Linked DNA regions of Pelodiscus sinensis. The protein of the gene in region 1 purifies or fractionates together with the protein of each later gene. This does not show direct contact. Links are inferred from orthologs where the notes say so. Each region holds a gene or a part of one and is shown on either strand. Other genes may lie near its edges.

The links.
Region 2: the proteins of POGZ (region 1) and CHAMP1 purify together in Homo sapiens (affinity purification with mass spectrometry; 4 studies listed by BioGRID and IntAct, with this or other methods). This does not show direct contact. The link is inferred for Pelodiscus sinensis from reciprocal best matches to the Homo sapiens genes POGZ and CHAMP1.

Annotation. Positions count from the first base shown.
Region 1 is NC_134734.1:15,202,168-15,218,129, forward strand, and holds the start of POGZ (pogo transposable element with ZNF domain), read right to left. Parts: upstream 7,149-15,962; 5' UTR 6,886-7,148; intron 1-6,885. UniProt on the Homo sapiens protein: Plays a role in mitotic cell cycle progression and is involved in kinetochore assembly and mitotic sister chromatid cohesion.
Region 2 is NC_134711.1:236,211,729-236,227,928, forward strand, and holds the start of CHAMP1 (chromosome alignment-maintaining phosphoprotein 1), read right to left. Parts: upstream 7,389-16,200; 5' UTR 7,155-7,388; intron 6,789-7,154; exon of another isoform or gene 6,687-6,788; 5' UTR 6,569-6,686; intron 2,285-6,568; 5' UTR 2,222-2,284; coding exon 1-2,221. UniProt on the Homo sapiens protein: Required for proper alignment of chromosomes at metaphase and their accurate segregation during mitosis. Involved in the maintenance of spindle microtubules attachment to the kinetochore during sister chromatid biorientation.

The DNA.
Region 1 (15,962 bases):
AAGTGCATGATATTTCATCTGTTCATATCAACTCAACTAAGAAAATGTCTTCTTTCTTCTACAATGTAGCAGCTTTGTTTTTCATAGCTTTGATCTTGAATATTTTTTGTAAGTAAAAAGCCCTTGCTCAATAAAATGATTAATCCCAGTGATAAATACTCTACTTTTAGCTTTTCAGCTCATAGCTGGCAGATTGCTTGCTTGCAAATATGGATGCCAAAAAAATTTTGCTAAATATACTACAAGAAATAAAACATTTTAGATACATCTCTCTCTGCTGTCAGTTGAAACGTGGGAAGAGACCTTTATGGTGCTGAAAGCCAGTGTTTATTAATTATACATAATGAATTGGCACTAATACAAAATATGGCCCCTTTGGTTTATGTGGACAAACATGGCTCATATTCATCTTTACCACAAGGAAAAAAATAATTAAGCCAATGGTCATTATGCTCTTGAATTAAAAAGGTTATCATTTGATTATACATTCTGCTAAAACAACTATCTTCACTGATGCAGAGCCAGCAATAAAAATTGAATCTGCATCCAAATAGATCACCCTAAATTTGAAAAAAGTCTTTTTTTAACTCTTCTCATGTTGCAGCAAAAAGCAGCTTGCTTGTCTCTTCTAATTTCTACCTAAATTTTGCATCTGATCCAGGCGCCAACTATATTTATTAATTAATGAACTGCCATCCTGCACAATTAGATAGATATAAAATGTAACAATTATGAACTGCCATTTTTCTCCAGAAAGCTTGACAAAACATCTAGAAAGAAGAAGTTTTTCATTTTGGTTTAAAAATTAAGAGATATTTTTAAACCTTCAAAAAGTATCTCACCAAACAAAATTCAGTTAATTCAAATCCTATCTCCAAAAAAGGCCATAAATTAAGAAGTTTTACCTTAGCATAACTCTATTAACTTCAAAGAAGTTAGTAGGGATTTATACAGATCTAAGTAAATTAAGAGAATCAGGTCCTAAATGTGTTCCATTATCAGAAGAAGCACCTGTGTGTACTGGAGTCTACATGACAGCTGTAGAATAAGACAGCTGTAGTTCTCTGAAATATCTAATTTACAGTATTTACTGTTTCCCTCTCAAGTCTATATTACTGAACACAAAATAAGTTATACCTCTTTCCCATCTCCCTCAAACTTTTTAAAGGACTGACTGCAAATTCAAGATTCCATCTACAGTGTTCTTGAAAGCTGCATGACAGGACATGCTATTGGTGCATAAGCTTTAACAAAACTTTATCATTTAAAAAAAATCTACATAAATGAGCACTAGTTAGGCCACAGTTGATGGCCCACTTTCTGCTAAATAATGACATCATCTCTGACACAGGCAGTCTTGGGGCAGAATATCAGACCACAAGTGAATTTCCATCCTACTATATACATGGTTAAAAAACAACTTTATTTTAAAATTAAATCATAATTTTGTACATAAATAATGCCAATTAATTAATTATTGTAATTTCTGGAATAATCCTCACAACATCCAAATGAGGTAGGGAAATATTTTTATAATCATTTTACAGATGGGGAAAACTGAGGCAAGGAGATGTGAATTGACTTGCCCAGGATCAAATATAGCAATTATATAAAAGCAGTAAGGAGAATCAAGGAGCTTGAACTTCTGACCCTGCCCACTCCAACCACTAGTTAATACTGCCTCACAAAACATAAAGCCCTCATTATTAAAAATAGAATCAAACCATAATGGAAACAGATTTCCAGTCTGTGACCTTTCAGCGCCATTAAATTATTAATTAAGAATGCAAATTATGCCATTTTAAACAACATTCACCACCACACATGCTCACAAATTTGGATTTTAATTAAAAAAAACAACTTTATTTACTGTGGGTATGTCTACATTGCATTCCTCTTTCGAGAGAGGAATGCAAATGCAGATGAACAAAATTGCAAATGAAGCACGGATTTGAATTTCTCACGCTTCATCTGCATAATCGCGTCCAGCCACTTTTTCAAAATACCCTATTTCGAAAAAAGAAATGCTGTCTAGACGTGGTTATTTCGAAAGAAAGGGTAATTTCAAAGGGAGGGTATTCTTTTGAAATAACCACGTTTAGACAGCGTTTCTTTTTTCGAAATAGCGTATTTCGAAAAAGCAGCCAGACACGATTATGCAGATGGAGCGTGGGAAATTCAAATCCGCGCTTCATTTGCAATTTTGTTCGTCTGCATTTGCATTCCTCTCTCGAAAGAGGAATGCAATGTAGACATACCCAAATACAATGAACACGGTCAGAAGCACTTGACTTCCTGTGAATTTACAGGGCATATGATGACGGCAGATATCTATGCAAATATTGGGCTATAGTATTTTTAATTTATCTTTTAGACAAAACTCTGCAATGATTCCAATGGGGATATCATGCTCATAGTCCACTGTTTGCAATTTCAGAGTGAATGTCCATTATGGAAATAATACTAAAACATGGCTCACCTATGAACCCTGATTTACAAGTCCAGATTTATTTCTCCCCAAGGAATATAGCAGGATAATTTTACTGTGATAATAAGGGACTGAGATCTGCATATTTTAGACAAAATATCTATTGAAGGCAATTGGCCCTACATCACAGCTTTATGCCAACGAAGGTGAACTAGCGCAAGGACACAAAGAACAGGCAAAAGGAGATTTTTGCAACCTCTCTAAGGCTCTCAGCCAGGGACCATTCTGTGATGGGGACAGAAGAGGAAATATGTCAGAAGCAGGTGCCCAGCACACACCTGTGGTCTGATGATTCTGTGCCTACAAAAATGCCCACAGGGCCACTGAAACTGATGCACGATTTTTTATACCAGTCTGGATTTGCTACCAAAATCTTAAGATGAGAGCACTTACAATATATCCCAGCTAACATTTCAGTCCTACCCCCAACTCTACTGTTTTTCTCTCAGTATGAAAAAAAATCTGCATTAATATGTAATGGCCAATTACATTTTCATTCATTTACTAAAAAAACAAGATCAGGTGGACCTGAAAACAAAATAATTGTTTTTAAGAAGGAACCCCCTCACCTGAAAAACAAAATGAAAACCCTAATGCCTCACAGGGTTCTTTATCAAGGAAAATTCTAGATATAAATGGAATGTATAAATGTATCAAACGTCAGTTGACCTTTTTCCTCGAAGCACCCCTCTTCTCTCTATCCAACCTCCTTTCTTGCCCTCATACACTCCCATCATCTAAACGGTCAACCTGTTTCTTGTCTTCTGTGGGTCATCCCCCTATTTTGATTGTAAGCATTCAGCAACAGGGAACGTATTTTATTTTATCTTTGCAAGAGCTATGATAGTTGACAACAATTAAATAATATAATAAATTAATCCCATGATTAGGACAGGACACATTCCTCTGCTATTGAGACAAACCCTGCAATTTTTACTCTAGCAAAATGCCCACTGACTTCAAGGAGTAATATGCCAAGACAGCATATTGGATATAAAATTATATCAGACTATGTATTAGTTGAAAAACAAAGGATCAGTAAGAAGTTTTCTATGATGCTTTAACTGTTGATATGAGTATTTTAACCATTTTACAGCACCTTAGATGAAGTAAGTCAGGGAACAGAGTTGTTTAAGATAAGAATCAAACAAGCCTAGGGTAGGGGTAGGCAATAATTTTAGGAGAGCCACTTCAAATTTTTGAAGTGGCCCCAAACCACACCGGAAGGGGCAGGCCCAGGATAATTTCATGCGCCCCCGCCTACAGACTGATTGGCCGGGGGTGAGGGAGTGTGTTCTTTGCTGCCGCTTCCCCCCTAGAGAAAACTGCCAGCTGTTCTCAACAGCTGGAGGTTCCCTCTATGCACCCACCCACTAGTGGGAGGAGACTTCACACACTCCCCTCTCCCCCCGCCCTCAGATCAATCAGGGCTGGGGGAGTGCCTGAAGTCTCTCATGCCCTGCCCGGGGTGGTGCAGTGCCTAGGGTGAGCTGGCAGTTCACTCGAGGCACCATGCACCCCTTGCAAGGCAGGAGGTGCACTCCCTCCGAGCACTCCCCTGCTCCCAGTCCCTGATTGATCGGGGGGGGGGGGGGGGAGGCGAAATCTCTCACTCTCTGTGCTCGCCCTGCAAGGCGCTTACTGTAAGAGCCATCAACCCCTGGCAGGGGAGGCCGATTGGCATGGGGGCGGAGGAGAGGCAGGGCATCTGCAGGTCAGATCTGGCCCACAGAGGCTCTCTTGCCCACCTCTGGTCTAGAGCAAGGCAAATTTATTTTTCATTGGCTGAGGTGGTTCATTTCAGTTCACTGGCTATCAGGATTACTTTAAAGCAAGGGCGGGAAACCTTTTTTGGGTCAGGGGCCGCTAACCCACAGAAAAATCATTCGGGGGCCACACATAAGTGAGAAGCAAAGAAAAAAAACATGACTGATGAGGAAGCTCCTCACATTCCCCTTGCACCCCAGAGGTTAGAGGGGCCCAAGCTAGTAGAGTTTATGTGCTCCAGCCCTGTGGGGGGATTGCAAGGGAACTGAAGCACCAGCATGGGCTCCCCAATGCTGAGAGGAGCCCTGAACCCCAGGGGCTGGATCCAGACGGGCCAGGGCTGCATCCTGCCCCTGCGCCTGAGGTTCTCTACCCCTGCTTTAGCGAGTATATTAAAATGTCTACAAATGTTATCACTTTGGGTTGCTACATGTTTTATTAAAGATTTTTCAGTGCATAATACCTATTAATTAAAATGTATTACTGCATGTTAAATTATCTGCTCTTACATTGTGAGCTGCAAATGAAAAAAACGTGTTTAACTTGCTTTCTGTTATACATGTGCACCTAGACTAGCATTATAATATTGGGATTTCATAGAAGAGATCCGGGGTATGGGAGAATCTTCCTGGGAGACTGGGCCTGCCCATGAGCTTCAAGTTCTTGTAACATACTCATCACTTTTGGCACTGATCTTGCAAATGACTGTGCAGGAGGAGCCTGCCTTCCCCACAAAGCTCTTTGTGGATTCAGGGGTCTAGTTATATGGACCCAGAGTCTGAGCATTTGTGATGCTCATATATACCAACAATGCATCCATACATACACACATGCAAGTATATATGGGGAAAAACAAAGACAGTGGATAGCAGGATTTGAAATGAAGAAGGGCCATTAGTTTCAAATGCCTGCAGGATGTCCCCCAAAAGGAGCAGCAGGCCTGTGAGAAAAATTAACTTGATGAAGACTGGTGATAGCAACTGCTGCCAAGTTCATAAAGCAGAGAGCTTGGTGTTGGTGCACATGGGATGTTCATGTCTGTACCTAATCCCCACATATTCTTCATGCTAGAACCCAGCAAAACAGAGTAAACAGAGGGCAAGTTAAAAAGTGCCCTAATATCAGGTGTCCAATGTTTCTCAGACATCCACTCTGAAAGGGGGAAAATAGTAGGCAAGCAAAAGGGGAGTCGCTCCCTCCAAGCAGCGGGGAAGCCATGGCTTCACCTTGCACTGGGAGGAATGGCAAGCACGTTCTGGGGACCTCCAGGTTCACTGAGATGTCAGGCACAGGGAAGTCACACTCACCTCATAGACAGAAGCTGCTGGCACGCTAAGGAAACTCCCTCCCACTCTGGGGAGCAGCCAGGGCCAGCTTGAGCCATTTCTGCGCCCCAGGCAGCGGGCATGCAATGCATGTGTGACTCTGCCCCCGGGCGCATGGCGCATCGTACAGCTGCAATCGGGTGTGCAGCGCCTGATTGCAGCTCTAAGGGGCGGTGTGGCCCACAGCCCCGGGCATGTGGCGTCTGATGGCAGCTCTAAGGGGCGCCACGCACACAGCACCCCTTACAGCTGCCATCAGGTGCCCCGGGCAACTGCCCAGCTAACTCCCCCCCCTTAATCCGGCCCTAGGAGCAGCAAGTATGCCAAGGGCAACTCCCCCCTCCCCCATTAAGGCAGTACCCTCTGGGAGTGACAGCCATGCCAATCAACTCCTCCTTTCTCTGAGGAGAGCAGCAGGCAGCCCAAAGGGATCATTGGGGTGTGTAGGCAAAAAATGGGGCTCACTGTGGAGGTCGGGGGGGAGGGAGCAGCAGGAAGGCCAAAAGCCCCCCTCACTCTCAGATGGGCAATGAGGTGGACTCCCCCTCGCGTTCATTTTCATGAAAGAGGATGGAGATAACACCTTTCCCACAGGAGTAAAAACAGGCTAGTTTCCATTTACTGTGGCTGCTTTGGAAGAAAGGTAGAGAAAATAATCCCTGTGCCCAACATGGCCGCCCACCCAGCAGCAGCCCTTGGAAAGGGGTGGGAGCAAGGAGACAGAAAAAATGCGATCCTGCTCCCCGCAGGGCCGGGCACCCAGCAGGAGGGTAGCGTGGGAGGCACTTTGCGACAGCTCAGGGGTTGCTCTGTGCAGGGTTTAACCCCGTTATGTTCGTCTCCAGTCGAGGGAGGGAGGTGAAGCGGAGGGAGCAGCCAAAGCCGCCTCACTCCTCCCCCTCAGCGAGAGGAGGGGGTATGCGGATCACTCCGCCTCCCCAGTCAGCGAAGGCGGGCGAGCGAGCGAGCAGATATTCCGCCGCCCAGCGGGAACAGCTCCTCCCCCCTCCCCTCAGCAACCCCGATCCCTCCCTCCCACACCGGAGCTCGCGCTCCCTCCTCCCTCCCCGCTCGGCGCGTCTGGCGGCCGCTTTGTGTACGGCGCGCGCTGCCCCCCCCCAACCCCCACCCGCTCCCAGACCCGGGCGGTTCGAACCGGTTCCAACGGCCACCGCCACCCGCATTCTTGTCGTGCGCGCGCGCCACGAACCTCTTCCTCCCGCCCCTTCGTATCGCCCCCCCCCCCGGTTGATTCTGCAGCGTCCGCCTCCCCCACCTCCACATAACGGACTCGCGCCAACTCACCTTTCTCTCCGTCTCCCGCCGCCGCCGCCTCCTCAGACGAGCTTGGCTCGCTCGCACACGCTCTTAAAGTGATACGCACCCCACACAACCTCTTACAGGGAGAAATGGCCGGGAGGGGAGGGTAGGTTGCATGAGCTCCCCCCCCAGTATTTTTGCCCCTCCTTCCCCCCAAAAAAAGCTGCAGGTTGATACACACAGAAAGAACCAACAGACACACACACACACACACAAAAAGGAGACCGGGCCGGCGGAGGGATACGGTGACGTCATTTCCTCCTCAGCTCCAACGCTGTCCTCTGATTGGTTGACTGGGGTGACATCACTGGGAGCCAAGCGCAGCCTACCTTGTCATGGGGAAGTTTGTCTGAGGCACAATTTTGGGGGGGATTCTCTGGGAGGGAGGCTGGTTACAGAAGGGGATTTTTTTCTTAGGTTGACCCCACTCCCACATGTCCAGAAATAGCTGAGAATAGGGAGAATTGGGAGGGAGGGACCCAAGGGGTAGCCAACGCCGCCTTTGAAGGGCCTGATGGCGAGCAGGTCTGCCAGGCTTGGACTACTTCATGGAGGCCAAATAGTCAATAGTCCAAGCCAGTTTCCAGTGTATCCTAACTTTTCCTACAGGTGACAAAGGGCATTTGGAGTCAGGACTTGAACCCGTCATCTGCAGTGAGTATTGGCTTTGGCGTGCCTAGCAACATGGCTGGGTCTCAAACCCATCACCTGCACCAGTTACTGGTAGGGTTGCCAGATGGTTTAAACAAAAATAGCGGACACACTTGAGATGACATCACAGTCTACATTACATCTTATTTAGAAAATACCGGACATTTATATTTTCTCATTTATATTTTTTCAATTTGTTTCCCAGACAGAAAGCTCAAATACTGAACTTTCCGATTCAAAACCGGACACCTGGCAACCCTAGTTACTGGCTTTGGCATGGTTAATAATATGGCTGAGTTTCAGCTCTACCATCTGCACCAGTTATTGGCTCGGCATGGCTAGCAGCGTGACTAGGTCTCAAACCCATTCCCTGCACTAGTTATTGGCTTTAGCATGGTTAATAATATGGCTGAATTTGAACCCACCACCTACACCAGTTATTGACTTGGCATAGTTAATGATATGGCTGAGTCTCCAACCTACCATCTGTATACGTTATTGGATTTGGCATGGTTAATTATATATGGCTAAGTCTCAAACCCACCATCTGCAACAGGTATTGACTTTGGCATGGTTACCGGTATGACTAGGTATCACAGTTTCCAGTTTCAGTGGGCATAGGTTTTGGAATCATTAGCAGTGTGACAAAGTCCCAAACCCATCTGCAACATAGTTCATTATATGGATAGGTCTCAAACCCAGTTGCTATGATAGGTATCAGCTTTGGCATTATTAGTGACATGGCTAGGTTTCAAATAGATAACCTGCAGTGAATACTGGCTTTGGTATAGTTAATAATACGGTTAGGTTTCAAACCCACCACCTGCAGAGTTGGTAAGCAAAATGGGTAAATCTGGAACCAAGCCCACCACCTGCAGTAGTTAATGGCTTTTGGGTGGTTTGCAATGTGGCTGGCACTAGAACGCCCCATCTGCAAGATACAATGTTATAATAATAATTTGTTATTTGTAACATGGTTGGGATTCAAACCTGCCACTGGCAACTTTTATCCTCCTCCCACCTACATTACTGGTGTAGCCACAGGATTCAAACCTATCACCCAAAACAGGTAAAGGTTCTTTGATGGCTAATGATGTGGTTGGGATTAGACTCTGGAGCCTCCAGAGGGTACAAGTTTTTTGTGGTTAGCAATGTGTCTGCAACTTCAAGGTACACTTGTAGCAAGTAACCCCTTTTGGTGATTCGTGACATGGCCAGAATCTGAACCACGTTTAGTCAATCAAGATAAAAAGTCATTATCAATAGCTATTTTGGGGACTCCGTGATAGGAGGTGTAGTTAAAAATATGGTCTTGTATACTCCCCATAAACACCATAACTCCATCAGTATTTGGCACTAATTTCTTTCCTCACTGGCAGTTTGAGCAGAGACCAAGGAATAAATGGACAATGGAAATTGAACTCCTTTGCTATCCTCCATGGGGAATTGTTGCAGGACAGAACTCAGGCACATTGACATGTGGATGAGGAAGTGTATAGGAAATCTGTAGATGCTGCCTAAGTGGATATACAAACCCTTTTGAGCAGGAATCTTAAGCACATGCCTATATTTGAGTATTAATCCCAAAATACTTATTGAGACAGCTCAGACATTAAAATTAGGCACTTTCTTAAGAATCTTACTAGATAGGCACCATAGACTTTTGATTTCCAGCAGACTTAATCAGTAGCTAAAATTCTCATAGAGACATAAAATGTTTTAAATCCTTAATAATCATAATCACATTTATAATTAATAGATACATTTAAAAATCATCAGTAATTTAATAAGCGCACACAGTTACAAAATGAATGACAGTATGCTTAATTGATAATAGATGTAACAGTAATCAAATCATATGCATTTTTCTTAATTATATATTAAACAGGTCATTGTTTTCCATGTATTAATACTGAAGAATAACGCATTATTAACATAATAATTATTTTGTATAATAGTAAAGAGTTCATTTATATATTTGTTAATCACTATTAATAAATAGCTATTCACATCTTCAATGAATGTTAAAAACATTATCTTAAGTTTTCTCACAATACTCCTGTGAAGTTGTTGAATAATAGTCTGCCCAAATGGGCCAAGAGGTATTAACCCTGTTGCTAGCATGTTATTTATTATCCTGGAGTTTATTAAACATGTATGTTCATCCTCTGTAAAAGCACAATGAATTACCAGTCATTTTTACCAGCTCACACTATGCATCAGATTAATCAACCACTTATTGATAGGAAGTGTTTGCATATAACCTGTGTATCACTTCTCTGCAATTTAAAGTTCCAAATTTCTGCTGGGGTATTTCCATTGGTGTCAACAATAGTAGTAATGTGCATTTGTTTGTTTATTTGTGCTGCAGTAGCACCAAGAAATGCCAGTCATGGTCCTTCCCCCCACTAAGTTATGTGATGTAGAAAAGAATCATTTCATGAAAGGCCAGCAATTTTCATTTGCTTTTTCCATGAACATTTCCTGGAACTAGCTGCATGAAGAGTGAAATATTTAGGAATCAAAAATTAAAAATACTTCCTTTAAGTTAATTATTATCATTGCTAGTCTACACTTAGAAATGAAAATGTTAATAAAAATGGATCAACATGGAATTCAGATATTATTAAAACAGAATTAAAAATGACAAATAACAATAAGTGGTAACTACTTAAAAATCAACATCACACCAGCAGAATTGATTTGTCTATTGCATTTACAATATTTCTTAGAATAGAAAACAGTAGGATTCACTATGACCTCTCTCTTAAACCAAAGTATACAATTAAAATATCAAATTAAAGATCAGCCTAAAAATCTGGACAAAAAAGAAACAGAGGATTTAATTGTATTAAACCACCTCATTACTGGCAAGTTGTTTAAAACTGTATGATGGGTATACGTGAAACAAAAGGGAAGCCAATGCCACTTTAGGTAATGCATCAAATCTAAGATTTCCTGTTTGCCTCTGTGCTGCACAGTAGGCTGCTCAGAAATTCACCATGATAGTAGAGTTAGGATTCAGATTTTCATGCTCCAAAAGCTCAAACATCTGTCGCTTAGAATGAGGGAGAATCTTTTTCAACTATTATCTGTGTAGGGGTTATAACATACAACTGATGACTCCTGATTATTCAGCACAGAACAAATAGCACACAAACACTGTTAATTTATATCAGAGGGGTAGCCGTGTTAGTCTGAATCTGCACAAACAACGAGAAGTCCTGTGGCACCTTATAGACTAACAAATTTATTGGAGCATAAGCTTTCATGAGCAAAGACCCACTTCGTCAGATGCCTTATTTTGTTGAATTCACGCATCTGACGAAGTGGGTCTTTGCCCATGAAAATTATGCTCCAATAAATCTGTTAGTCTGTAAGGTACCACAGGTCTTCTCGTTGTTTATACTGTTAATTTAGGCATAGTGTCGATTTTGGATTTAGGACCTACTAAAAAATAAAATGACCCAGTAGACTTACTATTAAATGTATCAATTTCTTAAGAAAAAAATTAACTATTTCTCTTAGAAGTCACAGAAGGGTAGCCTAGTTAGTCTGTAACCTATAAAAAAAAAGTAGTTCAGTAGCACCTTTCTTAGAGTTGGTCTTCATAGAAAGATGTGTGAAAGCAAGGTCCAGGTGTGTCAAGTAACCTTGACCTTACTATGACATTGCTAGCATGGGTGCATTGTAATGCCTTTTAATACAATCGAGCAGGTTGAGATAGACACCCCAAACTAAACTTGACATATTTGTCTAATGTACTCTAGTCCTTAAATTATGGTTTAGCAAAAGTATGAGTGACACAGCAGAGATTAATTAATACATCAAACTAGCTGTTCCAAAGATAGTAAATTGGAGCATTGTGTTTAGCTTCTGCAGTCTGCCAGTTTTCCTGGATGCCTGCCATGTCGGGTTTTTGCCATGAGTCTAAAATTGGAACCACCTGCAGTTTGGTTGGTGTCAAGGCAAGAACTTAAAAGGTTTCAGCATGTGGTTTCCTAACCACTGAAAAAGTCATTGTAAGTGTGTAGTATAGCTTGAAATGGAACAACAGACAGCTTTGCTACATCAGTTGACAATTTTTTTCCACAACATATAGTCTAGGGCTGACTGGAAGGATCAGTAAAAAGGTCCACAGATCTGAATTTGACACGTGGGATTATTATGATTTTGTTATTTGGATTCAACAAATTTATTGAACACATCAGGATTTGCTGGTTTAGAACTTTAAATAGGCACATTTAAATAAGCAATTCAAACATTTTACTTCTGACTAAAATGTTTTTCCTACTGTAGTCTCAGTTCAGCAAGATTATTAAGTATGTGCGTGACTTTAAGCATGTGGATTCCACTGGCAATCTAAAATTTATAATTAACAGATTAGAGGCAAATTTTCCCTTTTATGTTAGGCATTTGTCAGTACAGTACTTCGAATATAGTCAGATTCACTATTCCCTTTTTGTTCTTGAGCTGCTATTTTCTCTCTACCCATGAAGCTGGATTCATACATGGGATCCAGAATGATTTCATTGAGATTTCTTGAAAGTTTAAAGCTATGTGTTCTAGTATATGGTACATAATTTAGAAGTCTTAAACATAAGAACAGTCATACTCAGTCAGACCAAAGATCTGCTTACCCCAGAATCCTATGTTCTGAGACGGGCCAATGCCAAGTTCCCCAGAGGGAATAAACAGAACAAGTATTCATCAAGTGATCCATCCCCTGTTACCCATTCCCAGCTTCTGGCATACAGAGGCTAAGGATGCCATCACTGCCTATTTTGGCTAATAAGCATTGATGGACCTTTCTTCCATAAATTTAAATTTAAAAACTTTGTCTTTCTTTCCTTCCAAAGAAACATTAAAATAAATGCCTTCATCTTTCTAAAATATGCATCCCTAACCACCATAGGAAGCATCTGAGAGACAGCATTCATCTTTTGAAAAGAAACCAATAGCAAATGAAATTTAATGTGGATAAATTTAAAGTAATGCACATTGGAAAAAATAACCCCAACTATACATATAATATGATGGGGGCTAATTTAGCTACAACTAATCAGGAAAGAGATCTTGGAGTCATTGTGGATAGTTCTCTGAAGACGTCCACGCAGTATTCAGGGGCAGTTAAAAAAGAAAACAGGTTGTTAGGAATAATTTAAAAAGGGATAGAGAATAAGACAGAGAATATCTTATTGCCCTTATATAAATCCATGGTATGCCCACATCTTGAATACTGCATACAGATGTGGTCTCCTCATCTCAAAAGAAATATATTGGCATTAGAAAAGGTTCAGAGAAGGGCAACGTAAATGATTAGGGGTTTGGAACAGGTCCCATATGAGGAGAGATTAAAGAGACTGGGACTTTTCAGCTTGGAAAAGAGGAGACTAAGGGGGGATATGATAGAGGTCTATAAAATCATGAGTGGTGTGGAGAAAGTGAATAAGGAAAAGTTATTTACTTGTTCCCATAATATAACAACTAGGGGCCACCAAATGAAACTAATGGGTGGCAGGTTTAAAACAAAAGGAAGTTCTTCACACAGTGCATTGTCAATCTGTGGAACTCCTTGTCTGAGGAGGTTGTGAAGGCTAGGACTATAATGGGGTTTAAAAAAGAAGTAGATAAATTCATGGAGGTTAAGTCCATAAATGGCTATTAGCCAGTATTGGTAAGGAATGGTGTCCCTAGCCTCTGTTTGTCAGAGGATAGATATGGATGGCAGGAGAAAGATCGCTTGATCATTACCTGTTAAATTCAGTCCCTCTGGAACACCTGGGATTAGCCACTGTCGGCAGACAGGATACAGGGCTAGATGGACCTTTGGTCTGACCCAATATGGCCATTCTTATGTTCTTATGTTCTAATTACTTTACCCCACAAGATTTGGATTTCTACCTGTCAGAATGTACCTTAATATTTTGCATGATCAGATCCTAATACTTCCCAGCCATATTAATTTGTTTACCTTAATCCCTAAATACATTATTTGTTATTCATTTACATTTCCAAGATACAAAAATATCTGAATTGTTAATTCTTGGTAAAAATAAAATTTTGATTAAGAATTGTTTAGTTTATATATATAGATTCCCCAATCCAAACTTCCATGATTTTTAAATTTTCAGGAATAATATTCCTTGGATTACTCGCTTATTGATGAATTATTACTTACTGTTCTTTAGTATGTCTGTGTAACAACAGAATTGTTAGAATAAAGGGGAAAAATGCAGTCTGCTACGCGTTCTAGCACCAGACATGCTTTCTGTATCTGATGGTGAACGACTTCTAAAAGTTTCAGAGGAGTGGCAACTAGTAGTAATACTAACTTATGTACTTGTGAAGTAAAAAAGGAGATCTGAAACTGTATATCTGTAATAGGATGTGAATAAATATAATCAGACATCTGAACTTTGACACAGTGTACCTAAGGACACAGTCTAGACACAATTATTCAGCTATCAAAGGCCTAATGTCTAATGATATGTCTAATGATATCATTGCCTGTTGTTTCCAATTATCTTTAGACTCCAGTATGACACTGAAGCCAATACTTTGCTAAGATTATCTAATGCTTACTTCTGTTAAATAACCTACTCCTGACCTCTTTTCCTATAATTTTAAACTATTACCCAGGATTTTAGTAGGTACTTTGTAGTCAATCTTTCACCCCAAGGCCATTCTATAATTACTATCAGAGGGGAAACCAGGTTAGTCTGAATCTGCAAGAACAACGAGAAGTCCTGTGGCACCTTATAGACTAACAGATTTATTGGAGCATAAGCTTTCGTGTGCAAAGACCCATTTCATCAGATGCATGTAGTGGAAATTCCAGAGGCAGGTATAAATATATAAGCATAAGAAAAGAGTTCCAATCGAGAGTAAGGTTTGAGATAACGAGGTCAGTTCAGTCAGAGTGGATGAGGCCCGCTTCTAGCTGCTGATGTGGAGGTGTGAATACCAAGAGAGGAGAAACTGCTTTTGTAGTTGGCTAGCTATTCACAGTCTTTGTTTAATCCTAAACTGATAGTATCACATTTGCAGATGAATTGTAGCTCTGCAGTTTCTCTTTGAAATCTGTTTTTTAATTTTTTTTGTTGCAGGATGGCTACTTTTAAATCTGCTATTGTGTGTCCAGGGAGATTGAAGTGTTCTCCTACAGGTTTTTGTGTATTACCATTCCTTATATCTGATTTGTGTCCATTTGTTCTTTTACATAGGGACTGTCCAGTTTGGCCGATGTATATGGCAGAAGGGCATTGCTGGCACATGATTTGCATATATTACATTGGTAGATGTGCAGGTGAATCAGCTCGTATTGGTGTGGCTGATGTGGTTAGGTGTTGTGATGGTGCCGCAGGAAATCACCGTGATTTCAACAATTTCCACCCCACCATCAACCTCAGCCTGGAACAGTCTACACAAAAGATCCCCTGCCTGGACACCACAGTGCAAATAAGTGATGGTCACCTAAACACCACCCTATACCAAAAACCTACGGGCCGCTATGCCTACCTACATGCCTCCAGCTTCTTAGGTATAACCGCATTTGCTCCAACCCTTCAGACAGAGATAAACACCTACAAGATCTACACCAAGCATTCTTGAAACTACAGTACCCACCTGAGGAAGTGAAGAAACAGATCAACAGAGCCAGACATATACCCAGAAGCCTCCTGCTACAACACAGGCCCAACAAAGAAAATAACAGAACACCACTTGCCATCACCTACAGTCCCCAGTTAAAACCTCTCCAACGCATCATCAGCGATCTACACAGGAGCGGCCCGTGAGCCTAAGCAGACTCTGCAGTCGCCTAGGGCGCCACCAGCCTGGGCACCCGATGATGATGTCACGGGGCACCCGGGTGCCCGATGATTACGTCATGGCCATTGACAGCCGTGCAGGCGGGGCACCGATCACGCCTTCCACCTAGGGCACCAGCTGCCACAGCCAGCCTCGGGCCACTCCTGGATCTACAACCCATCCTGGACAATGATCCCTCACTTTCACAGGCCTTGGGAGGTAGACCAGTCCTTGCCCACAGACAACCTACCAACGTGAACCAAATTCTCACCAGCAACTACACACAATACCACAGTAACTTTAACTCTGGAACCAATCCCTGCAATAAACCTCAGTACCAACTCTGCCCACATATCTATACCAGCACCACCGTCATAGGACCTAACCACTTCAGCCACACCATTACAGGCTCATTCATTACTATGTGGCTTTGGGTCTTTTTAAAGCTTAAAAATTAAGAATACCACAGCCTCGTTCTTGGTATTTGATCAAGATATTCCTTCATTAAATATACTCACCAGACACTGAATCCAAAAATTTTTCTAGTATACAAAAATTCTTCTAGTAAGCTATCTTCTCCTTCACAGTTCTACATTTTC
Region 2 (16,200 bases), on another chromosome or scaffold:
CATCCAGTGTTTTTTGATCTTCTAAACTCTGAGCTAGGAAACCACTCTCGTTGGATTCAATAGATGTCTGCAGCTCAGAGGAAACAGCTGGAGTAGGTTTGAGAGGCTCAGGGAAAAGAACATTTTTCTGGACCTCAGAGGGAACAGAAGGAGCAGGTTTGTGGGGATCAGTAGAAAGAGCATGTTTCTGGACATCAGATGAAACAGCAGGTGGTTTCTGGATCTCAGAAAACAGAGTATGCTTCTGAACATCAGGAGAAATACCACATTTCTGTGGCTCAGGAAAAAAGGCTTGTTTGTGTGTCTCAGGGGAAACAGCAGGAGCAGGTTTCTGGGATTCTGTAAAGAGGGCATATTTCTGCACCTCAGGAGAAACAGTACTAGCAGGTTTCTGAGACTCAGCAAAGGGGACAGGTTTCTGGATCTCAGGGGAGGAAGCAGGAGAAACTTTCTGAGGCTCTGGCAAGCAAGTATGTTCCTGGACTTCAGGGGAAGCAGCATCAAGTTTCTGAGGCTCTGGAAAGAAGGCATGTTTCTGCACTTCAGGAGAGAAAGGAACAGGTTTCTGGGACTCAGTAAAGGGGGCATTTTTCTGGACTTCAGGAGAAACAGGAAGAGCAGATATTTGAGGCTCGGGGAAGAAAGCACGTTTTTGTACCTCAGACGAAGCAGCAGAAGCAGATTTTCGAGGCTCTGAGAAGAGGGCTCTTTTCCGGGATTCAGGGAAGAGGGACCGTTTTTGTCCCTCAGGGGAAATGGAGGGAGCAGACTTTTGAGTCTCAGAGAAGAAGGTTGACTTCCGGGACTCAGATGAAAGTTTCCAGGGCTCAGGAGACAATGAGGGAGCAGGTTTGCGAAGATCAGAAAACAAAGATGATTTCCAAACTTCAGAGGAAACAATGTGACTAGGTTTTCGGAGTTCGGGTGAAACAGGGGGAGCAGGCATCCAAGTATCAGGAGAAAGAACAGGTTTCCAGCCTTCGGGGTATACAGAGGAGATGGGTTTCCATGGCTCAGATGAAACAGATTTCTGGGAATCAGAAAAGGATGTAGGTTTCCACGGGTCAGGAGCAGGCCTCCGTGGCTCAGGGGACACCACCGGGGCTGGCCTTCGTGGCTCAGGGGTCACCACTGGGGCAGGTTTTTGTGGCCAGGGAGAGGCGGCAGCAGCAGCAGATTTCTGTAGCTCATGAGAAATAGCAGTGGCAGGTCTCCAGGATTCAGGAGAAACTGAGGGAGCAGGCCTCCATGCTTCTGGGGAAATTGTAGAAGCAGGCCTGCGAGGCTCAGGAGACAAAGCAGGAGCAGGCCTCCGTGTCTGAGTCATATGCCTGCGTGGTTCTGGAGACACTGCTGGGGAACGCCTGCGAGGCTCAGGGGAAACTGCTGGTGAACGCCTGCGGGGCTCAGGGGAAACCGCTGGGGCGGGCTTCTGAGGCTCTGGGAACACTGCTGGTGAACGCTTTCGGGGCTCAGGGGAAACTGCTGGTGAACGCCTGCGGGGCTCTGGGGACACCGCTGGGGCAGGCTTCTGGGGCTCAGGAGACACCGCTGGGGCAGGCTTCTGGGGCTCAGGAGACACCGCTGGGGCAGGCTTCTGGGGCTCAGGAGACACCGCTGGGGCAGGCTTCTGGGGCTCAGGAGACACCGCTGAGGAATGCCTAATGGAATCAGGAGATACTGCCAAGGCAGGCTTCTGGGGCTCAGGGGACACTGCTGGGGCCAGCTTCTCAGGTTCAGGAGATCCCACTGAGGCTGGCTTCTCCAGCTCAGGGGACACTGATGGTTTCTGAAGTTTGGGGGAAATAACTGGGTCAGGTTTGGGGAGTTCTGGGGAAAGGGCAGGCTTGTGTGATTCAGGTGAAAGAGCATGTTTTTGTGGTTCCTGAATGAGCGCTGTTTTCAAGGATTCAGTCTCAGCTTCTAACTGATCTTTCTGGTCTTCATTCCACTTTTCAGGTACTGCATGTTGTGATGTGATGTGATAATAAACATTGCAATACATCTTGCTGGTAAAGAAACATTTGTGACAGTGGAAAAGTTTTGCACTTTTCTGATAAAATATAAGTTTACCTAAACCAGCAGCATCCATTTCATCACAATACTCTGGGTGAATGGTACCCATATGAATTTGTATATTTTCATAATCTGTTCCTCTGAAACTACAGTGATCACATTCTAAACGCTCTGATGTTTTACGCAGTATCTGGAACATTTCCATTTTTCTATGGTAAGTTGCAGCTTGCACAGCACTACAAATCTCAAACAGCAAACTTCAGTATTCCTGCAATAGAGATAAAGGATTGCATATTTAGCTCATATAATAATAAATTTACTTTTAAAATGTTTATTCATTTTTAATTAGTTTGATATATACTTCTCTTTTTCTAGAATAAAAATTAAAGCCAGTTAAATCAAGCCAATCCAGACATTTACAAACTATCAAGTCAGTTACAAAAACTAATCACCAGTTGAATTTTTTTCTACACAAAATCCACTTACTTCTCCTACATAGCAAATTTATATATGAATGTAATAAATTATTTTGCTCAAGGAGTTAATAACTTTGGTATGGTTATAACCTCCTGCATGAAGAAATACAAACGCAGATATCCCCTAGGTCTGCAAGTCACTGCACAGAGAGATTGTGTAAGTAATTTAAATTGTTTACCACACGACCTTGATTGCTATTATCTATCAGCAGAGGAACTTTACAAATAAACCACATTCAAAGGACCTATGTAACAAATATCTAGCTCGTGCCATCACATTCAACTGACAACACTTCTTTGCTTGACCTGAGGCTAATACTTATACTACATTTCATCTGAAAATTAGAGAGCACTTTATGCATTTCACAAAGGTGGAAACAGGATCATACAGTCCTGATTCTCTGGTTTCTCTTCAACTCATATAAATCTTTCACCTTTTACTAAACCCTACTTTCCATACAGTAACTATTTTTCATGAGAAAGCATTTGACACATACAAAATGACAGTCAGATACAAAACCATTCTGTTGTCTGAAGTCTACCTGCTACTGTTATACTTAGAATTACCAACACTGAAAAAGGAGAGAAAAAAATATTTCCTATTTAGGTTTGCATTTGACAGTCCTCTGTATATATGATTTCTGCAACTGATGGGGGATCTTTTACACCAGGGAAAGGGAATAACATTTATAAAATAAAAAATTGTGACTGTAAAAACAAAACAAAATCACAAAGAGATTAATACAGATAATGCATGTAAAACTTAACTAATTTTAAAAAAGGACTAGATTTCAACTGAATGTCTCTAATAGTGAAAAGTAATAATGTAATAAGATCTCCGGATAAATTATTGTTGTAAACAGAAGACCGAATTTAACTGTAGTTACCATTTTCACCTGTTTTTAGGTATCCTTTAAGCTAGGAGAAAAATATCTGTATGGTAGTAAATTATTTATTTGTATTGAGGTAGTGCCTATAGGATACCCAGCCTGGAAATAACAGTCAGTGTTCTCAGACTGAGAAAAAAATCCTTCACAAATGTACAGAAAAATCATCATACAATTGTACCTAAAAAATTGAGCCTTTTTCTTTGTGGAAGACATGGCTTTGATGTATTTATATTCTGAAACCTCAGAAACTGAATGGGAAATGTGAGTTAAAAAAATTGGGATTTTGTGTTTTATTTTAATCCTTATTATAATTCTGGATGGTCTTACTATCCATATTAAATATTCAACCCTTTTATGAATCCTGCTAAGCTACTGGTTTGAACAGTTTGTGCTAATAAGTTCCACAGGTGATATGTACATTATGTGAAAACTATTTTCTTTGAGGTGTACTAAATGTGTTGCTTTTTAACTTTATGAACACTTTATCCATGTATTGCAAGAAAGAATGAAGATGTGTATGTTTTCTATACCACTTATTATATATACACATCTTATTATATCCCCCTCTATATTAAACCATCTGAAATTTCTTCACCATCTTTTCATATGGATCTGTTCTATAATTTTTGTTCTCAGACTTCTTTTTCTCTTCATCTGCAATCGTTTTCAGAATTTCTGGATATATGGTATATTACTAACCCTTCTTGGGAAGTTGAATTATTGATGTGAATTTCTGTGGTTTGAGACTATTCTTTGGTGTTGTATTGTCTCACAAATGAAGCATAAAAATAAGGTAAGTCTGTAACAGAGTGGGAGTTACATTTTGTATTGTAAACATCACATTGTGCATTGTAAACATCACATTGTGCTATGTGCTTTACAGGTGTAACATTGACGAAGACTGTTTACACTACAGATTTTAGAGCTGCACAGCTGTACTGCTACAAGATTTATATGGAACTGCCCCAGGTAAACCACCCACACCCCAATCCCAGACCTGAGCCCTTCCCACACTGTCACCTCCCAGACCCTGCACCCTTGCCTTGAGCCCCCTTCCACACCATAACATCCTCCCAGACCACACACCCCTATCCTGAGCCCCAGCTGAGCCTGGTCCACTACTCTCTCCTAGATCCTACACCCCAATCCTGATTCCCCCTCCTGCAACCAAACTTCTGCCTAATCAAGCACCTCCACCCCAACCTTCTGCCCTAAGACTGCTTTAGTGCTCCAAACCCCATGCCTCAGCCTGGAACCCCCTCCTACATCCCAAATACCTCATCCACAGCCCCACCACAGGGCCTGCACCAGCAGTCAGAACCCTCATCCCCCCCAACTCTAAGCCTCCTTCTACACTCCGAACCCCTCAGCACCAAACCTGCTACAGATCATCCATTTACAAATGAATTTTGTTTGTTATTTGATACGTTGCATATCTTCGCCATATTGGTGCACATAGCAAAATTCATTTCACAAATGGACACACAAAATTAGAGGGAACATGGATCAGCAGTGTGCTTTTTCATACCCCTGACAAGAAATAGATCAAAATGCAAAGTAAACATAGCCTAAGAAAAGTCTATTTTAATTATTCTGAAATAATATCCTTCCCAGGGGAGGTGCTAGTCACCTCATTGAAGAACTAGACTAAAGGTCTAACAAGCTAGGACTCTGACTGTTCTTATCAGCTGACCAACTCCATGGATTTTCTACACAAAAGCATCAGCAGAGTTTGCACATCTACAGCTCCTCAGCCTGGATACATGATGAAAACAAAGAGGTCGCTACTGTGAGCAGAGGGACCATCCATTTCCACATGCAAGAAACACCAGCTGGAGAGAGAACACAGAAGGGACTTGGCCTAGCCTAAAATTTCACACACAGAAAGGCTGACAGTTGACTACAGAGTTGTGCATCTCAAGATATCTGTTAATTTGCAAAGATCTGTAACTTTAGTGCTTTCTTAAGAATAAAGTGACAAGAAATCTTGTGTTAAATAAGCAGTTTTCGTCTGGTTTGTAGAAACATGTACTTTTAAGTTATTTTCTAGAATATGCTATATCTATATGCATTTAAGAAATTAGCTTAATGTATATTAACTTTGTTATTATAGAAAAAGGTGCATTTCTTCTTTACTACATGATCTTTTTTACTTTGCTATTCGATTTTTTTTAATTATATACATTTAACAGATTCTAGTAAATTTAGGCCTCAGCATAGATTGACATAATTCCACTTTTCATTTTAAACAGATTTATTTGAAAGAGAATTTTTAACTTAAATTCATCCCATAGCAGACAAGTAGTTTTCAGAAATATTTGAAATAGGATTAATAGCATAACATTTTCTTGGTAATATAAGGTTTATTATTTTGCAAGCAAATCAGATTCAATTTAGCTTTAAAGAAAAATTAAATTGGCAAAATCCATACATAATAGCCGAACAAATTTTCCTGAACTACTCCCTCTCACTTTATCGCATCTTAATTTCTTTCCTTACTTAATGTTCTAATTCCTTCCCTAAACTCTCCTAACATCACCGCTACTAAGGAACCTTCAGCAACTAGGGATGCAAAAGGTTAACTAGTAAGCATTAGCTTTATCAGCATGATTATCTAATTAACCAATAACCAATTAATTAACCGAAGGGCTGGGTGAAGGGAGACGCTCCCTGCAGCCAACCCAGGCACCAGGACTTCAGCAGGCCAGAATAGCCCCCAGCTTGTTGCACAGTGTGACAGAACCTGTCCAGCCAGAGCAGGGGGGATCCCTTCTGTCCAGAGAAGTCCCCCCCACACCCATGAAGAGCTGGTTGGACCCCAGCCGCACAATTAACAGGTTAAAGTATTACAATTATATTGTTAATCCAGTAAACTTTTTAAATGGATATATACATCTCTAGCACCAACTATTTATATTCCATTGCTGCCCACCTTCACAGATGTACCAAAAAGTGTGCATAGATCACACACAAACCACAGCAGGATCCACTTCCAAAACTCCACACAACAGACTTGCTCTGGGCTTCTTTATACACTTAAAAACAATTTCCTGAGAGTGGCAATTTTATAAATGAAGTGCCTCTGTCCCTACAGAACACACGGGATAAAACAACTCATACCCTTGATTTTGGTAAGTGATAGGGCCTGTCCCTTAAAAACTGCCTGCTACAGAGAAACTTACTTACTTGAGATTATTGACATTGTCCTGCAGCGTTGCAATTCGGTAACACAGGCTCGTTCTGCAACTGTTTGTGTTGGTTTTCCTCGCGACTAGGGCAATGAGAATCGGCTGCGGGCTCAGGTCTGGGGGTTGAAAGGCTGCTTCAATGCCCGCTTTGTGTTTCCCCGCAGTAGTGCGATGCAGCGTGTCTGTCGCCTGTAACCTCAGCACGAGCCTGAAGCGGGCTGGGGGGGGAGGGAAGGATTTACACAGGGAAAGGCTGGATCCAGACCGCGCTGGCTGGGGGGGGGGGGCAGTTCACACCCCCACGGGGCGGCAGCCGCCTCGCACTTCCGACTCGGGGCCCGCCAGCCGCAGCACTGGGGGCGCGCGGGAGAGGGGGCACCGCAGCCCCGAAGTGGGGGGAGGGGTCTGAGCGCGAGCCTGGTCGGCGATGACCGGCCCCGAACGCGTTACCGCCGCGGGGGGGGAGGAGCCTCCAGCGGGAAAGGCCCGAGCCGCGCGCGCGGGGGGGGGGGGGTGTTTACGAAGCCTTCGCGCCCCCTCCTGCCTAGAGAACGCGGCTCCCCCCCCCCCCCCCCCGCACTCACCGCGAGGGGCAGCACGTGACTCTCGCTCCGTTCGGGCGGGGGTTCTGCGCGCGGGCAGACCCCTGGGCGGACGCGGCCCCTCCAATGGCGGCGGTGGCGGCGGCTTTCGCAGGCCGGAGTGAGCGCTCCCGGGGGGGGGGGGGGAAGGGGAAGGGAGGCGCGCGCCCACACAATGGAGGCTTTATTGGGTCTCCGGCCCTTCCCGCTGCCCAACCGGAAACGCCGCCGTTGCTTCTGCCCCGCCCCCCGCCGCGCGAGACCGCGGGCGCTCCCCCCCCCCCCCCCCCCCCCCGACAACGTGCCTCTGCTTCCTTGCCGTTGCGCGCGCGCGCGTGCATGGCGCCAAGAGGGCGGGGGCGGTTGGAGCCGTTAGAAAGGTCCGGGGCTGAGCGCCTGGAGGAGAGCGCGGGGTGCGGGATCCCTTGCAGGGGTTGGAGCCTGCTGGGCGCGCCGGATCCAGCGCCTGTTGGGAACCAGCTGGTGCCTCCTGAGCTCCTTGGCTGTGTCTAGACTGGCAAGTTTTTCCAAAAAATCATTTGCGGAAAAACTTGCCAGCTGTCTACACTGGCCGCTTGAATGTCCGGAAAAGCACTGACCATCTCATGTAAGATTGTCAGTGCTTTTGTGGAAATACTATGCTGCTCCTATTCGGGCAAAAGTCTTTTTCCGAAAAACTTTTGCGCGAAAGGGCCAGTGTAGACAGCAGAGATTTGTTTTCCGCAAAAAAGCCCCGATCGCAAAAATGGCGATTGGGGCTTTTTGTGGAAAAGCGCGTCTAGATTGGCCACGGAAGTGCAGAAAAACATCCTGCCAATCTAGATGCTCTGTTCCGAAAATTCTTTTAATGGAAATCTTTTCAGTTAAAAGCATTTCTGGAAAATCATGCCAGTGTAGACGTAGCCTGTGTTCTGTCCATGGGCGGGATAAACTTTGCACCACCATTGGGAAAACCCAGCTGAGGGCGCTCTGCTAATCACCTGGGCTGCATGTGGATGTCTCCTGAGCCTTTGCCCAAACACTCCCCTTGCAGGGACTCCGGGAGGGGGCTGCTATGGGTGTGTGGTGGAGGGGAGTATCTGTTGCACACCTTCAGGCTGTGCCAGAGCCCCCCTCCCCACTCAGCACTTCCCTCGTCCCCACACACATCCTGCACTTTCTGGGGTTTCTTTGTGCTGCCTGAGGCACTGATGGCTATACTGGGAATTTGCCGTTTCCCAACTGAGTTAAGTTGTGTAATGCCAGGCTTGCTCAGCAAATGCCCAACACAGAGCTGGAGACCTTACACAAGATGCAACTGGACGCTGTGGGTTTGGCTTTTGTTTGTGACATAGGGATTGAAAATGCCACTGAGAAGGTGTGATGCTGTCAGAGCTGTTTCCTCCTCAGGCCGATGTCTCTTCAGGTCTTAACTGAACATCGACAAATCCATAGTAGCATCAATGGCTCACCTGTGTGTTTGTGATGTTAAATAGGTGTTTGTGGGTTGGTTTGAGAGACTGTGGGAGGGGACTGGGAAATGGAAGGCATTTTTGTGGTGGGTGGTGGTGCCTAGCACTAGTTCTAGAGGTAGTAGACGCTGCTATGTTCAGGCTTCAAGACTATGTCTACACTGCAGGCTTCTTGTGCAAGAATGGCCATTCTTGCGCAAAAACTTATGGTGCATCTACACTGCACATGCGTTCTTGCTCAAGTAAATTTACAGGAATACGTTGGAACAGAGGGCTTCTTGGGCAAGAGTTATTCTTCTCCCCAGAGGAATAAGCCCTCTTGCACAAGAAGGCAGTGTGGATGAGCAACAGGGGGTTTACAGGGATGTGGAAAAAACACATCTGCTTTTCTGATTTTTTTTTTTTAAGATTTTCCTTGGATACCTCCAGTATTCCAGAAAAACTCTGCAGTCTAAACTTACCCAAAGGGAGTCTCTTCCCCCTTCTTTTCCTAGGTTGTCAGTATTTAATTGTGTCCATTAAACCCCATTAATCATTTTGGGGACTACCTGAAAAGGCTACTATGTTCAGCACAAAAAAGCTGTGACTCCTTTGCAGGTATAACTGTGATATTTTGAGGACAGTGAAACCTAGTCCTGCTTCTTTTATTAACATGATGTGGATAACACATAATACACTAATTAGCATGCAAGTATGTGCCACCCATTACGTGGAAAGTCAGAACTGATCAAAACTGATTAGTAGAATCTCAGAGTTTACAAATACCAGCGTTACAAACTGAGGAGTCAACAATACAACTCTCTTGGAATACAGGTATACAATTAGGCAGCAGCAGTAACCAACAAATAAAAAAGCAGATGTAGTTCAGTGCTGTGTTAATTGTAAACTACTAAATATAAGTAAAGCAGTAATTTTCTTCTGCCTAATTAAGTTTCAAAACTGTATTGTTAATGTTCAGTGCGAAGAAACCATAATGTTTTATTTAGAGTTAAGAACATTTCAGAATTACAATCTCCATTCCTGAAGTGTTGTAACGCTGGTTTGCTGTAGTCTCCCTCTAGTGGTTGGTCAATCAAAAGCAGCAGCCTAGACTTGAAGTCTACTTTTATCATGATGTATGAATAGAAGTTTAAAAAATTATTCTTTATGGCTGTGTCTAGACTGGCCAGTTTTTCCGGAAAATCAGCGACTTTTCCGGAAAAACCTGCCAGCTGTCTACACTGGCTGCTTGAATTTCCGCAAAAGCACTGACGATCTCATGTAAGATTGTCAGTGTTCTTGCAGAAATACTATGCTGCTCCCGTTCGGGCAAAAGTCCTTTTGCGCAAAACTTTTGCACAAAAGGGCCAGTGTAGACAGCCCAGATTTGTTTTCCGCAAAAAAGCCCCGATCGCGAAAATGGCGATCGGGGCTTTTTTGCGAAAAAGCGCGTCTAGATTGGCACGGATGCTTTTCCGCAAAAAGTGCTTTTGCGGAAAAGCGTCCGTGCCAATCTAGATGCTCTGTTCCGAAAATGCTTTTAACGGAAAACTTTTCCATTAAAAGCATTTCTGGAAAATCATGCCAGTCTAGACATAGCCTATTTGTGTCTATTAAAAGGAAAACTCTGTGTTCAGAAAGTCTTATCTTTTACTTTAGAGGGGTTTGCAAAATTGGTGAGTCTTAATACACAATAATACTACACATTAATACAACTAGCTACATAGTAGAGTATCTTGTTTCTCTTTCAAGTGATTGTGTACAAATACTGCAGGTGTACATGCTTCCAATGCGCTTGTATTGGACTTTTGTATCAGCAGTACTACTAGGCAATAAAGAGGTCCCCCCATGCTTAATGAAAATTGGTTTATATTAATATGCATAACTCAGAGATGCTTTGAAGAAATGCCTCACATAATCAACAAATTCTATTTCAGTGCATGTATCGTTCCTGTATGTAAAGTTAGAAATACATAGCATGAGACTGCTTATAGTTTCAAATGTGCTAATGAGAGCCATTACCTCTCCCTCAAGCCTTAATGACTTGGTGATCAACTTAACGACTTGTAAATGGCCTTGTTTGTCTTGTAAGTCCAAAATTGATTGGACTAGTAAGACACGTGACCATACCATCTGGTACTGGGATTCCACTTTGGGGCTAGGTCTAGACAACAAAGTTTTGTCGGAAAAAGCTGCACAAAATGCACTCCGCATTTTGTGTAGCTTTTTCTGATTCTTTTGTCGGAAGAGACTTTTCCGACTTTTAGCCTGTCTAGACTAGGCCAAATGTTGGGAAAAAACCCTCTTTCAGAAGCCCCCTTCTTCCTGGTGGAAGGAGGAATACTGGGGCTTCCGAAAGAGTGCATTTGCACTTCCGCAAAAAAAAAAGTGCAAACGCATTCCCTGGATGCGGTGGGGTTTTTCGGGATATCCTGAAAAAACCTCGTAGTCTAAACGTAGCCTTACTTTGGTAGTTTTCCATGGAAAGTGGGGAACGGGGAGTGTTGAACAAAAGTTTCCTGTTCTGAGGGAAAGACTATTTAATCAATGAGCCCTTTGTCTTTGGCTAGTCTGGAAACTCCTGAAAGATACAAGGGGCTGGGAACCAGGTCAGGGTAAAATGTCTCTGACCTGAAGATTATGCCTAAATATGAACAGCTTATAAGGGTAAGAATGTGCTCGCAATACGTTTTTTAGTGAATTAGCACTAGCTATGCACTTTATTTTTAACTTAGTAACTTACTTTGACGTGTCCGTTTTCACTTGCAACCACGTAAATCCTACTGTTTGTCCTTAATAAAAACACTTTAATTTGGTATCAGGCCCAGTGTAAATAATTGCTGCCTAGGGGAATGACTAGTGTGCATATCTCTCTTTCATTGATGAAGAGCGTGAACATCCTCATGAGCTTTCCTTGTGTAAAACTTTTAAACAAAGATGGATTTATCTGGGGTTTTGATCTCTTTTGGGGGTTGGTTTCCTGGATGGTGTGACCTAGAACTGCATTCTCCCAGAGCTGAAATGGTTCAGTGTCTGCACTGTACTTCAGGGGGGTAGTAATCACAACACTCTGCCTTATCTAGGGGAGAACAGAGGATCTGGCCCAATGGGACAGGGTAGTGGAGAGCCCCAGAGAACAAGAAAGCAGGTATCAGTGGCATAATCAGAACATCAGGGAACAATCTCAAGGGGTCTTCTGTGACTGCACCCCATCAAAGTGGTGCAGTGAGCAGAGTGATGAGCACAGCCTTGGCCAGTTTATCTATTAGGCAAAATAGACAGTACCTATGGCCCAAGAAAAAGTTTAGAGCCTAAAAAATTCATAATTGACTTTAGTAAGAAAATGGCTAAATCAAACTTAATAATTCACTTTTTTTAGTCAAAAACAGCATACAGGTATAACATACAATATTTACTTTGGGATTCTTTGTTAGCAAAATCACTGATTACATTACCAAATGTATTTTTTTTCAAAAGTTCTTTCTTGTTTGGAAGTAGTGCAAGTGAAAATGGTAATTTCTGTCCCATAATAGACCGAAGACCAATCTTTATATTTTTTTAACTTTGAAAAAAAGCACTCCCTTCACAGTTTGTTCCCAAGATGGCAAGATATATCCTGAAAGCAAAGGTGACATTTGGAAAACCTGTCACTGAAGGAACAGAATCTGGACACCCTATGTGAAGCAATCAGGAGAGTTTATTACACACACAGTGATGGCAGAGTGTCACATCACTTGTTAGGGCTCACTGAACACTGCCAGACCATAGATTACAATTAATTATATAGGATGCTTAATGGGCAGACCAAAGTGATTGGTGGGGGTAAGATCCTGAAACCCGGATAGGTGCTAATTGTGAGGCAAAATAAGAGCAATAATATAAAGTTACAGGCTGCGTCTAGACTGGCAAGTTTTTCCGCAAAAGCAAATGCTTTTGCGGAAAAACTTGCCAGCTGTCTACACTGGCCGCTTGAATTTCCGCAAGAACACTGACTTCCTACTGTCTGAAATCAGTGCTTCTTGCGGAAATGCTATGCTGCTCCCATTCGAGCAAAAGCCCTCTTGTGCAAATGCTTTTACAGATGTAAAATGTACAAATGTACTGTGTTTGTGTGCCAGTCCCAGACTCCAAATTTAGAATAGGAGTTCTTAACAATATCATAGCGTGCCTCAGAAATTTTTATCGTACATCATCAATTTGTCTGCTATTTGTGCGCTGATCAATTCTGCCACAGATTTCTTCTCTGCATACATACACACGAGAACAATAGAAATTCATCTGTAAATGCATGTTCAAAATCTGCTGGATAGATATTTATCAATGCCCTTGTTCTAGAGGCAACTTCAACACTGAACATTGATCTATCAACAAGAAAACAGAACCCTTCATTCAATTAGGCATATGTTATTCATCCTCTGACCATCTCAAGGGTAAGTTTACATGATAGGATAGAATAATGTATGTGAAATTTGGCACTGGCACTCAAATCCAAGACAGTATTATCCATACACACTTTATAAAAAATTGCTTTCTCAGCTGTTTGCATTGTGTGGTCTCTTATAGTTGGATGGTGTGAGATCTTTTGCAGTTGCCTCAAACATTGAATTTATCATTAGCATGAAGAAAGTGTGAATTAATGACAGTGCACGACTCAATGTCAGCTTCCTGTAGAGCTTAATTCATGAGAATAAATTTTTGTAGTATGTTGTTCCATATGACATACATCAAAGCTGTCTCAAACTGATCCAGCTTCTTAGTCAGTGACTGCCTCATGGACAGCTGCTGGTGGTTGTTGATCACTTTCAGCTATGTCTATCAAAGTCTGACGGATACAGAATAGTTCACATAAAGTGCTCTGGAGGCATCACTCTGTGCTGACCATTTTGTTTCTGATATGCTTTGTACAACATAGGGATTTTACTTCCTGTTCTTTACTAATTTAGACCATCTTTGGGGTGAAGCTGAGAAGAACTGAGAAGCGTGACTACAAAATCCCCAAAAACCTGACTGCTGCAGAGCAACATTTCATTGCAGCTGATCCAAACACATTCAGACTATGTGCAGTGCATGGAACCTAGTCAGCCAAACTGTTAAACTTCATGAAACCTAGCTTGAACCCCTGAATAAATGCCACTCATATTGCTGGCATTATCATATGATTGTGACATGCAGCTTACAATATCAATGCCATAAGATTGGAGAATATCCTGCAAAAGATCACTTAAACACATTTCCATCACTGAATACATAACAAAAAAACCCCTTTAAGCTGATCAGTGTGACCATGGGTGCTGTATGAGGGTCCAGCTAGGGAAGGCAAGCCACAGCCTCTCCCCTTCCGCAACCTTTCCCCACCTGTGCCGCCAAGCCTCACCAAACCCCAGTCCGATCCTTCCTGGCCCTTTGGAGGGCTGGGGCTGCTGCACTGTGGCCCTAGCTGCAGCCCCAGCCTTCCCCAGTGGTGAGGGAGCCAGGCTGCTGCACTGCAGCCCATGTCTTCCTGGGTGGCTGGGGAGTTGGATTGCCGTGGGAATTTATGCAGTTTTGGGAAGGCAATGCCATCCTTTGCCTACATTACCCGCCACCATGAGTGTGACTAATATCAGATTAATTGATATTGATTCCATAATACTTGGTCTTCTTTATTTCAGATATTATTCTGTACCATGGCTTTGGATCTCAATGTATCAATACATTCATCACATATAGCTGATGAAAGATAAGACACATTCTCTCTTCCTGCATTTCTATGTTGTTGCATGTGTTCTGAAAGAAATGGTTCAAATTCAGCTAGAAGTTCAGTGCAACCAAAGTCGTTTTCAGTGTTAGGGCAGATGTGCACTTCAGTGTCCCCACAAAAGGCTAGTCCTCATTCAGCAAGGACTCTTATTACACCAACTATTCCCTTTAGGACTTCAATTCAGTATCTACATGATCTTTCCTTCACCTTCTCCAGTTCTGCATCAATTCAGGCAGACTTCTGATGCTGGAGCATTGTTGACAGTTTGCCAAGATGATCCTTCAACTGCTCATGAGAAGTAATTCTAGTGACTGCATTTTTCCAATCATCAAAATTGATTAGAGTAGTTATTGACACAGAACAGTTTGCATACATAGCAATGCCCTTTACCCACTGAGGGAGAAAAAAGAAGCCATTCTCTTTGGACAGTTTCTCCATTTGCCAGTTGCCTGAAAAAATTCTGTGTGTGCATATCTTTTATTTTTACCTGTCTATCCATCAATGAAAAAGTGGAATCCAAATTCTGGGAAGGTATATTTTCTGCAAAAATATTTTATAAAATATGGAGTTATTTCCCATTCAGCTGAATCAGAACTATATTTAATGTTGTGACAAAATCTGCTGTTTTCTTTGGCATCTGTTCTCTTATCACATCTGCTGATATTGTCACTGCCACTTCTGAAGCAGAGTGACTGACCCTTGCTTGTTCCTCACTAGACCTTGAAGGTTAACACTATTCTCAATAATATCTGTTTCAACATGTCCTGAAGCTTTGTTTTCTAGGTCTGAAGTTGATGGATCAATGGGATGCATTGCTCTGTTGATTTTACAGTGGCAACATTGCTTCACTTCCCCATATCAACTGATTAACTATCAGGTGCATCATAAGTATAATGGTAGTATACATCAAAATGGCTGTTATTTTAGAATGAAGTACCATGAATTGCGCACACAGTGCATCACTTTCAAGAGTGGAAATTAAAGTAGGTGATGTTAGGCATATAGGCAATAGGACATTTCTCTCTTGTATATTTATATATAATCTAATTTAAAAGCCTAAGATTATGAGGATGCCTAGGGACTATGAAGACCTTAATCCATGTCTGTGCACAGCTATTTGCTCTAGATCAGGGGTAGGTAATAATTTTTTGCTGGATGCCACTTTGGAAATTTTTCAAGTGTCCCTGGGCCAAGATACTTCTGAGTTCCCCACCCCCAGACAATGATTGGTCTGGGGGTGAGGGAGTGACCTTAGGGAGGGAGTGAACGCACTGGACTGGCTTATAGGGACTTGACAAAATGAATCCTATCAGGGAGGTGACCAGTGGACCTACAGTGATCTCTTCCTTGTCATCACCGGTCTTCCTAATTCCATTGGGACTCTTGCGTCTTATTAAATCTTCATCTGTCTTTGTTCTGTGCCATAAGCCACTTACTATCTCCCCCCCCCCCCCCCCCCCACACACACTTATATCCCATTAGCCTCTCTCCTAGGCTAAGAGATTCTCTGATTAATGGCTTTTCTGGTGCATCTCCCCTGTAACCTTGTTAGTTCTTCATGCTGCCACAGAACCAAATATGTGTCCTGGCAGCAGTTTGCTAAGAACATTTAGCTCTGTGAACATTAGCCTACTCGCTAAGGAGGGACATGTCCAAACAGGACTGAGATGTGCCATGGCAGTCCCACATGCACTCCCTGCTCAACCAAGAAAGAGTTAACCCCCACCCCACACACAAGAAGCACCACCAAGGAGCCTGCAAGGAACATGGGACTATCCCTTTGGAAAACAGGAAGGTATAGTGGTTTCCCAGTCCTCAGAGTGTATCAAGCAATGGGGGCTCGATCAAGCCAGCGCTCCGCATGGTCCGAGGAGGAGAA